Drosophila melanogaster: one gene and its partner. The protein of the gene in region 2 purifies or fractionates together with the protein of the main gene of each other region. This does not show direct contact. Each region holds a gene or a part of one and is shown on either strand. Other genes may lie near its edges.

Region 1 (4,709 bases), on a different chromosome or scaffold from region 2:
CTTCAAATCATGGATGCTGTCCTGATCTTGCTGACGCAGGCGGTCGTAGCTGCCGACAGTGGTGCTGAGCTCCGCCAGGCGTGCCTCTAGACTGGCCACGCGATCCTCGTGCAGCGCCGCCTGCCTGCGACTCTGTTCCTCGGCACGCAGCACGCGACGCTGTTCCTGACGAATGGCCACTGCATGCTGCTCCTTCAGTTGCTGCATCTCAAGGCGCACTTGCTGAAGGAGAGCGGCGCTGTCCGCACTCGCTGACGCTGCTGCAGAGTGCTCGGTCTTGGCCTGGAACTGTTTCAGCTGGGAGCGAGCCTCCTTTAGCTGGGATTGCAATTCCCGTAGCCGGCTATTCTCTGCCTCGTTGCTGGCGAACTGGGTCTTGAAGTTGTTTAACTGCATCTCAATGTTGTCCTTTAGATGCCGCTCGTCCGCATAGAGTTTCTGCAGTTCGCGGATCATGAGCATTTGGTTGTTGGTCTCTTTCTCGCGCTCCTGTCGCTCCACGATCCACTTGGCCTTGATCTCGTCCACGTCGCTTTTGGCCCGAGCAGCCTGCTCCTTGGCCCGGGTATTAAGCTCCTGAATGGTCTGCTCCTTTTGGGCGATTTGGCTGCGCAGTTGCTTTTTATCCGCCTGAAAGGAGGCCTCCATGCGGGATTTCTCAGCGGAAAGAGTGGCCAGCGAGTTCATCAGGGTGATAATTTGGGTCTGCAGTTGACCCTCGGCCGGGGGAGCAGGCGGACCCGGTGCAGCGCCCTCGGTTGCTCCATCCGCAGAGTCGGTGCTGGTTTTTTTGGACTCCAACTCCCTGGCCGGCGATCCGGACTCGCCCACCGCCGTGGCCTCCGCATGCGCCGCCAGACTCGTCTCCAATGCCTCCTTCTCCTTAAGCAGACCCTTGTAGGCAGTGACCACGTCTACAAATTGGGCTCATTAATCCATTTGCATTGCGAATTCATCTATGTCTCACCTTTTAGACGCTTTTCATAGCGCCCCAGTTGCTCCTTTTGGGTGGACACCAGCGCCTCCAGCTCCCTCTGTCGCTTCTCCATTTCGCCTTGAAAGGGAATTAGTTCATTTACTTTCAGTTCGCTTAGTAGTTCAATTTATTTATCTCCCGTGTCATTTTTGCATTTCTTTTAATTAACAAATTTCAGCAGCTGGCACGCGGGCCTGCCAACTTGTCATGTTTGCTCAGGCACTAAAAATTGCCATCATTCTGATTTAAACTTTTTTTTATTTTTGCGGTTTTTCAAAAAATAATTAATAACCAAATTTACATAAATTAAAAACTATTTTAAATGTAAATGTATTATAAATCAGCTGCATAGTTGCTAAATTGAGATATTTTCAAACATTAATATTAGTCCAATTAAAGTAAATTAAATGTTGAGCCTAACTAAATCTTATTTCATTCGCCCTCCTCGTCCTTCATCATCTGCTCAATGAGTCTCTTACGTTCCTCAGCTTGGCGCAGCTTTCGCATGACCAGGTCCTCGTAGTCGGTGGATGACGCACTGCACCCAGTGGTGGCCGATTTGGTTGTCTGCTTGTCTGCCGCCGGCGGCGTTACCCACTCGAAGTGCAGCGGCTTGGCGGGATCGCCTTTTTCGTAGGCCAAGACCATGTCGCAGGCTTCGCGCGTGGCCAGCTCCACCATGGCGCGTCCGCGTCGCTTGCTGTTGACCACCAGGGCCACCACGTCGCCGTACTTCTTCAGATACTTGAGCAGCTCTTGCTGTGTGTAATCCTGGCCAGGTTCGGCCTTCCACTTCATCTTGATGCGATGCTGGGCGGAATCAAACTGGACCGGCTGTTGCTGCAGTTTCTGTTGCTCCGCGTGATTCCGCCGGAACTGCTCCTGCATGGCTCGCTGCTCCTCCTCCAGCAGACGGGAGCCCTCGCGTCGCAACCGCTCGATCTGCTCATGCAGCACCTCCTCGTCGCTTTTGGCCACCGTGCTGTAGGGTTGGCTCTTCGCCAGTTTGTGCAGTGCCGCCCGTTCACGTTCCTCCAGTTCCAGCTTCAGCTTCTGCCGCTTCCCGTCCAGTTGGCGACTCCTCAGCTCCGCCGCCTTCTTGGCCTTCAGCACTTTGTCATAAGCTGCGCGCGCGGATTCATCCGTGAGGATCTCCAGAGCCTTGGACAACTCATGGAAGCGCTCGACTGCCTTCGGATTGTCCGGATTCTTGTCGGGATGGCACTCGAGGGCCTTCTTGCGGTACGCCTTGCGTATCTCATTTTGATCAGACTCGAGAGAAATGCCCAGAAGATCGTAAAGATTCACGTCACTGTACTTTTTGCTAGCCATTTAGTCTTATTTTACTCCTTATTCAACAACTGGAACATGGGTTTGTTTTGCAGTTTGTCTTTTTTGGGCAAAAGTTAGCTAAAATATACTATTTTATACGAGACTTATTTCACAACTGCAGCCGGCGGTCCAAAAATGTCCAAATAAAACATTTGCAATTGTTTACTGGATCAGCTGTTCGCTGCAACGAGTTGGCAGCCCCGCAACACAACGTGCCCATTTGTTTGGCGTGGATTAATCTAAGTTATCGCAAAAAAAACTCAAATATAATATGACCTTTAGGCGCTGAATTAAGCTGAAGGTACGTCATGAGCATCTATCACGACGAGGTGGAGATCGAGGACTTCGAGTACGACGAGGAGGAGGAGATGTACTACTATCCCTGTCCATGCGGCGATCGATTTCAGATCTCCAAGGTAACGAGTCGTATACGCAACCTTTTTTTTTCTGGACTCCCCATATCACTTGGTAAATTTCCACTTTAGGAGGAGCTAATCGAGGGCGAGGAGGTGGCCACCTGTCCCAGCTGCTCCCTAGTCATCAAGGTCATATACGATCCGGTAAGTGACTCATTCAGAAATACACCTAGAACTCCCCAGAAAACTCAAGCAATCTGATTTTCCGAATTTCAGGAGATGTTCAAAGCTGAGGAGGATGAAGAAAGTGCGCTGAACGAGAAGCTCGGCGACCTGAAGCTCGAGAAGAACTAACACACAGTTTGGTGTAATTAAATAGTTTTTATTTATATATTTTTATATATATATAGACTTCATTTTAGTGTAAATAATACGATGACTAGTAAAACAATGATTTCAAATTATGCAAGCTCGCAAAAACAGTTTCGATTCGTTATGGATTATTCGTTTTGGGTGAATTACAAAGGATTTATACACACATTCTAGAATATCTAAAACTAAAACACTCATATTGCACCGAGTACACTTTGTTATATATGTTTTACAAGCGCGGAGGACAACAATATGATGATAATCGAACGAAAATTTGGAAACACAAACAAGTTAAAGGAACGTCAGCGTACCAGCTGTGGAAATGTGAGTAGTACAGCGAGTTACATACAATGGAAAGCGGTTGGAAAAATATATAAATAACATACACCTACCACTCTCACTTTCTGCTTACGGCTTAGGAATTCGACTTAAACTTAGCACGAAAATATTGTTATGGTTCGCCATGCAGTGTTTCTGTCCACTGCATCGCATACTGAATCATCTCTGCCACCGATCTTTTCCTTTTTCTTTTAGAGAGCGTGCTCGTTCAGCAAATGAGTGGAGGTGGACGACGTGTCCCGATCTCCTCCAATATACGCGCCTAAGTGCTTCGCGAGTGAAAGGGACGAACTGCGTCTACTCGATCTACTGCTCCAGCCAGGATCCAGTGACGGCATTGGGTGACTTAAGCTGCGGGCCACAAGAGGAGAAGTGAAAAAGTGAATGTGCGAACGAAGTTTAATGGGAGCACTCTGCTCCCATGTTTCCATGCTCACTCACCTTTATGTTGAACTGCTTCAGAGTGCTCTCCAGTGCCATGGCATTGCCCGAGAAGTAGGCAGCGATGGCATTGTGCAGCAGAATCAATTGCTTGTGCATCACTTTAATCTATCGACGGATAAACGGATTGGATCAATGGTTAGTCTCGCTAAATGCATAGGTAAGATCCATTTGGCACCACTTACGCGATTCTCGTCGAGAAATTGCATTTTGACGGCCACGTCCGAGCGCAGCTTCTCATATTGCTCCTTGTGCTGCGCATAGCTGCGCTGGGTCTCCTCAAGAGCGACGGCCGAGGGCGTCAGCTCCGGCTTGGTGTTCTCCAAATCCATGCGGTAGGCATCGAATTCGATTCTAAAAGGCAGGAGGACATTACTTCTACTACATATAATTCTCATGCCTTTTTATGAAACATACGATGGCTTTAGGAAATAAAAACTTATTGCCATTGTAGAGATTATCATGGAATGCGGTTATGACTAATTGATCCAACGTATTTAAATTTTTTCAAGGAAATAATACGATAAGCAATGTTTCAAGCTTGTATACAAGGCTAGTTTAAAATGCATTTCTGATAAGAGCTGTGTGGCACAACACTTTTTATAAAAAGCCACACACATGCTGAGTTTAAATTAAAATCGAAGAGATCGATGATGATTTTTCCTTCGTTGTTGCACGACAATGAAAGGATATAGCTTTGGTTACCTGGCCGTTTCGTACTGTCGTATCGTCAGCAGCGTATCGTCGATCGTCTTGTTGCACAGTGTGTTCACCGACGAAATAAAGAAGTTGAGCGCATTAAGCAGCAGCTCGCCGTTCTTGGTGAGATTGCGCTGCGTCTCCGAATTGCACGTGAACTCTTTCTGCAGCTCGGGGTTCTTCTGGGCCAGATC
Region 2 (5,801 bases):
CAGTGACCCATTCGCTTATCAATTTATGAGCTAATTCCTAATTGCGTTTCCCACTTCTCCGCCTTGCAGTGATGAACGATCCTTTGGAGCACGCCACTGGTATCGAGAAGCGCGAGCTGCTGCTTAAGGCCGCCGGCAATGATAACCCCTTCGACATGAAGGTCTTCAAGCGGGGCGCCGGCACCAAGGAGAACCCCAACCTTATTCCATCGGCCTTCGATGCTCGCATTGTGGGCTGCATCTGTAAGTAGTCCAACAACACCAGCTGCGGTCAGGATAATGGCAGAGATTGGAGTATTCTATCAGCCGTAAAATTTGCATTCTATTCTGTTTAGGTGCATTTCAATGACGTTTCTGTGCGAAGCAAAATTTAATTCCTTTCATTGTAATATTTATCCAATTGAGTCGCTTTAATTTAATTAAGTTTTGAGCTCTGATTAGCTACACACCGCGTTTAAACGTTTTCATATATTATTTTGAATAATTGCACACACTCCAACTAAGGAAACCTTAATGCCTTTATCCTGACCAAAAATAAAGCCCATCATTCCAGTAGAGTACTTTCTAACAAACCTTTCATTCCAAACCAGGCGAAGAGGATCAGACCTACGTGCAATGGATGTGGCTGCAGAAGGGCAACCAGAAACGTTGTGAGTGCGGCCATTGGTTCAAGCTGGTGGAGAAGGCAGCTGTTTAAAGTTATTATTAATTAATTCAATAAACCAATTAATAACAAAAACACAACAACTACTAAGCTAAAAGTCAACCCACTTAGCTGTCCAAATAAACAAACATCAACCCAAAAAAAAAAAAAAAAACGAAACTGTGAACAGAGAGGAGTGAAAGGGCGGCACAGCTTCCATTTTCAGATCTGCAAACGTGTTTTCGAACGCAGCCGAGGAAAATTGCTTAATTAACACAAAAAGCGAACAATAAAGTCTAAAGAAGAGATTTTGAGTGAAAATCAAAGGATTTATTTTAAAAAAGCTTGTCTAAAGACAGAAGAAAGTTGAATTTCGTTTAAAAATGTTTAAAATCGCAGAACTAATTTAATTTTAATAAGGCAGTAGGCGTCTTAATAAGAAATCAAACATTTTCAAAACCCTTTGATCAGATTCAACTCACTCAAAGTGGGAAATTCTCGTGTGATAACCATAATTTTCTAGATAAACTCCTTTAAAAATGTCGTCCTACATTTCGCGTCTACTTAAGGCTCAGTCCGCCTCCAAACGTCTGATCTCCAATTTAACCCAGCGCGACGGAAAGCTAAGCTCTTTGCTTCGACGACTAGGTTTACAGTGGCAAGGATCAGCCGCTGCTCCTCAACAGCGTCCCATATCCACAACTCAGGTGCAAAAGTCAGGTAAGTAGTGGTTGCAGCTTGCAAAGATCTCCAGTTCAGGTCTCATGCCCGATTAGCGCTAATTGCGGACGATCAACTGGTCACCGGGATTCAGAAGCGCGAAATGCTGCTGGCCAAGCAGGGCTGCGAGGACCCTTGGGGTTTCAGCAAGGTGATCAGGCGCGGATCGGGAAGGGAGAACGACCCCACCGTCGTGCCATCGGCGTTCGATGCACGCCTCGTAGGCTGTCTGTGCCTGGATGACCGCTTGCCCAAGTGGATGTGGATTGAGAAGGACGAGGGACCGAAGCGGTGCGAGTGCGGCCACTACTTCATCCTCAAGAATGTCCCACCCGTTTAGATCGATCACACAGAGCGCTGTACTTAACACGAACACACTTGGCATGATCCTCAGCTGGCATTAAACATTGCATGATATTATCAAAACAAAGGCTTACATGTATTTGTTAGACGCACAACAACTATCTAAGCGTATAGCCCGTCAAAAGGTAGCCACTATTTCCGCTCATATTCACTTCCGGATGTGTGCGATTGGGCAGGATCTGGTAGGTGCGCAGCCAGTTCGAGGTCAAGTGCAGACCCGTCACCTTGCCTGTTGTTTTCAGCTCCATGAATGTCTCTTGTAACAGCTCCTTGCAGGTGCTGAATACCACCACGGGTCTTGAGGGTTTCACAAGAGGCAGCAGGGCTTGCAGAATGTTGGATGGGTGCTCCTTGGCGGCCACCACCAGACTGTCGAATTCGGCGTGCATCAGGGCCGTGGCCCGCTTGTTTTCCAAATGCCAGCGCGGAGGTCCCTTTGCTCCTATAACAACAGAAATAGTATTTGTACTTGTCTTGATTAGTTTACTATTGTGACCAATACCTTCTCTACCACTATTTGACTCATCCAGCTTGGGTTTCTTTGTGGTCGGTTCTATCGCCTCAGGTTGTTCCTCCGTTGGCGTCTCCAGCTGGGTTTCCTGAGGTTCGTTTTCACTGGGCTCCACAACGGGAATATCTGTGGCCTTCGCGTCCCCTCCTTGGTAAAACTCCCTTAAAACGGAATAGAGATTAACGGAAACACATCGCTGTTGCTGCTCCAGGGGTAGTTTCAGAGCTGAGAGCGCCTGCTTCTGGGGCACATTGCCCGGGTGCATGTGCACCAGGGTGCCCTCCGTGCCTGCGCCTATAGAGTTGAGCATGGCAGCCGGCAGTAGACCATTGGTACCACTCTCGTACAGCAGATAGCTGCCGAATCCACAAACGCCCGAGTAAGAAATAATTTGCGATAAAGTGTCAACGCGAATGCCCATGACCTTTTCCGAGTCTTGGCGGTAGAAGATGTCCAGCATCAGACGGATCGTTGGCTGGCGGATTTGAACGAACTCGAAATACTTTTTCTCCTTCTTTAGCAGGTACTTCTCTTGGGAGTACTCCGTTCGGTTGTGGAAAGTCTTAGAATTCTCCACCAGCTTCTCGATGATTTTGCTGGAGTCGTTGCACTCCTCACGCAGCTGCGCAATGTCCTCTGGTTTCAGGGTCTGCGCTTCTCCATCATCCCGGATGTCCCGATTATCCGCTCCACTGCTGGAGATGCCCAGAACCTCTCGCGTGCTTCTCAGCTCAGTCTCGCTGCACAGCTCCAAGGTGTGTTGTCTCTGGGCGCCCCTTTTACCCGGCTTTGTCTCTTTGACGCACATCTTGAACGTGGAGCCATAGGGTTGGTCCAAAAGAGACTTCAGCTCCAGTGTTTCTTTGCCCAATGTGGCCGTGGTGTCCAGACTGCCGAATTTTTGTAGCTTCGTATATTTCTGCCGCTGGATGACGATGTAGTCGCCCAATTGGATTCTGGGGATGTCCTCTTCGGTGGCCATGGTTGCAACTCTATGTTATAATTCTTATAAACAACGTGTTTGTCGAAAACAAACGAAAGCCGCAAATTCTATAGAGAAGAGGAAGAGAAATTCAGTGCTGGAAAACGGACAAAATCTGGTAATCTAGTCACCTGTTGCATGTGATTAGTAACGAAATTTTAAATAAAGAGCTATAATTAACAACAAATTATTTTCTTAATTTGGCAATACAAATTCATTTATGCAAACAAGAATATTTGGATTGATATTTGACTGATCTGGCAGCTCCATTACCTGTTGCTTGGCCAAATGTTTCACAATTCTAATTAAGAAATAACCATGAGTACTTATACCAAAAATTTCATTTACTTTAACTAATTAATTTTTGATCATGCAATTAGAACATTCAAGCACAATATCAATACTCCTAGTTAAAATATACACAAAAATAATATACAACAAATATGTACATACATTACCCATTTTTGAGATAAGTGGCTGTTTGCTGTTGTGCTTTAATAAGTAGAGTTGGTTGCTATGAATGCTTAAGTTGAACATGGGTGTAGCTAACAGGGATGGTGAAAGTGTGAGTAAATACCTTGAATTACTATGACTAAGTAATAATCATTGCCAAAAATACATTATTTACTGCCCATACTTACGGTCCCTCTTGGCGATTACGGAAGGGAAGGACTGCGCCCATGCGTAACGGCACCCCTCAAATCGCTTGTATCGACGCCCATAAATCATAATTTTCAACGGTGTGGCAACGCCGTTCGATCGAGTACAGCTGATACAACGCGGCGATAATCTTGTAGTGCGGTGCGGTTTTAACCTTTGATTGGATCTGTGTTGTAATCAGCGCTCTTCGGGCACTGCAGTTGCGTCTCCACGTGACCACTAGTTCCAGGCGAACCCCCCGCCACGAGGATATACCCTAATCCCGAAATCAGAGTGCTGTCGCAGGCGCAGGGAAAATCAAACCTTCCCGCCCTCCTACCGGTTTTGTGGCCACCGCGAAAATAACTGACCGCGCAAGTTTTCGGGTTTCAAGCAAACGCCTCAAGCACACGCCCCAATAACTGCTGTCGCCCGCATCAGCAGAACCAGAAAGAAATCCGAGCCAGAGCAGAACAGAAGTCGCGCAGATATGGCGGAGGCTAAATCGGAGAAGTCGCCTTTTATTGGCAAACAGCAGGCGCCGGTGACGTTAAATCCCTCGTGGGAATCCAAGTTGCCGCCCCATGATTCCAACGGCAAGGGATCAACGTCGGTGTTGGCGAAACTGGGCCTGCCAGCGCCAAAAGATAAATTCCTTATCGTGTTCTTTATATTCCTGCTGCACGGCGTGGGCACGCTGATGCCATGGAACATGTTCATCACGGCCAAGTCCTATTTCGAGGACTTCAAGTTCGGACCAAACAACACCGTGGCCACGGAAGTGAGTTACCGCACCCATTTCATGCAAAATATGGGCTTTGCCTCGCAGATTCCTAACCTGGTCTTCAACTGGCTGAACATCTTTGTCAACTTTGGCGGCGACCTGACCACCCGAATCGTCTACAGCATCATCTTCGAAATGGTCATTCTGCTGGTTACCATTATTTTGGCCATGCTCGACTCCTCGCAGTGGCCGGGCGTCTTCTTCTGGACCACCATGGTGTGCATTGTGTTGTTAAACGTGTGCAACGGCATCTACCAGAACACCATATACGGAATAGTGGCATCGTTGCCCATCAAGTACACAGGCGCCGTCGTCCTGGGCTCCAACATCAGCGGCTGCTTCACCACCGCCATGGCCTTGATATGCGGTGAGATCTTCTCGTCCAAGAGGACTTCGGCCATCTACTACTTCGTGACCGCCATCCTAGTGCTGCTGCTCTGCTTCGACACGTACTTTGCGCTGCCGCTGAACAAGTTCTTCCGGCACTACGAGACCATTAGCCGGAGCAGCGAAAAGAAATCTGATTCTAAGGCCCAGCTGAACGTGCCTTACTGGCAGATCTTCAAGAAAGCAGCGCCCCAACTATTCAACATCTTCCTCACGTTTTTCGTCACGTTGTCGGTTTTCCCGGCGATTCAGTCGAACGTGCACCGCTCCGACCCAAATTTCGTAGTAGGCCCGGACTACTTTACACTGGTCACTTGCTTCGCGACCTTTAACGTCTTCGCAATGCTGGGCAGTTTAACCACATCGTGGGTGCAATGGCCGGGTCCGAGGTTCCTCTGGGTGCCAGTGGTCTTGCGTCTGGCGTTCATCCCCTTGTTTGTCATGTGCAACTACGTTCCGCCGGACTCGGTGCGCTCATTGGCCGTATTCATCGAGAACGATTGGGTGTACTGGGGCATCGGCATCGCAATGGCCTACAGCTCCGGGTATCTCAGCTCTCTGGGCATGATGTACGCCCCGCAGACGGTGCACACCAAATACCAGACCACTGCCGGAATGTACGCAGCTGCCATGCTGATCACGGGCATCTTCTCCGGAGTGCTGTTCTCGTATCTGGGACCATTTTTCGTCGTGTAGTCTTACATTTATTAGTATGACGCTTACTAACAATTTTCATTGTTCATTGCATTGCATTATTTGACACATTTTAAAT

What was found. The genes of interacting proteins can lie anywhere in the genome.
Region 1: the proteins of Trmt6 (region 2) and CG17187 purify together in Drosophila melanogaster (affinity purification with mass spectrometry, with the first as the bait; one large-scale study listed by BioGRID). This does not show direct contact.

Annotation. Positions count from the first base shown.
Region 1 is NT_033777.3:11,229,401-11,234,109, forward strand, and holds CG17187 (uncharacterized protein), read right to left. Parts: upstream 2,480-4,709; 5' UTR 2,309-2,479; coding exon 1,409-2,308; 3' UTR 1,217-1,408; downstream 1-1,216. Other genes in the region: GCC88 (GRIP and coiled-coil domain containing 88 kDa), read right to left, coding at 1-914, 968-1,049; Dph3 (diphthamide biosynthesis 3), read left to right, coding at 2,617-2,724, 2,794-2,868, 2,941-3,018; Arfip (arfaptin), read right to left, coding at 3,682-3,726, 3,817-3,924, 4,002-4,170, 4,522-4,709.
Region 2 is NT_033779.5:6,558,349-6,564,149, forward strand, and holds Trmt6 (tRNA methyltransferase 6 non-catalytic subunit), read right to left. Parts: upstream 3,313-5,801; 5' UTR 3,220-3,312; coding exon 2,229-3,219; intron 2,169-2,228; coding exon 1,825-2,168; 3' UTR 1,704-1,824; coding exon of another isoform or gene 1,420-1,703; 3' UTR 1,364-1,419; coding exon of another isoform or gene 1,183-1,363; 3' UTR 1,078-1,182; downstream 1-1,077. Other genes in the region: COX5B (cytochrome c oxidase subunit 5B), read left to right, coding at 70-243, 591-697; COX5BL (cytochrome c oxidase subunit 5B-like), read left to right, coding at 1,183-1,363, 1,420-1,703; Ent2 (equilibrative nucleoside transporter 2), read left to right, coding at 4,349-5,725.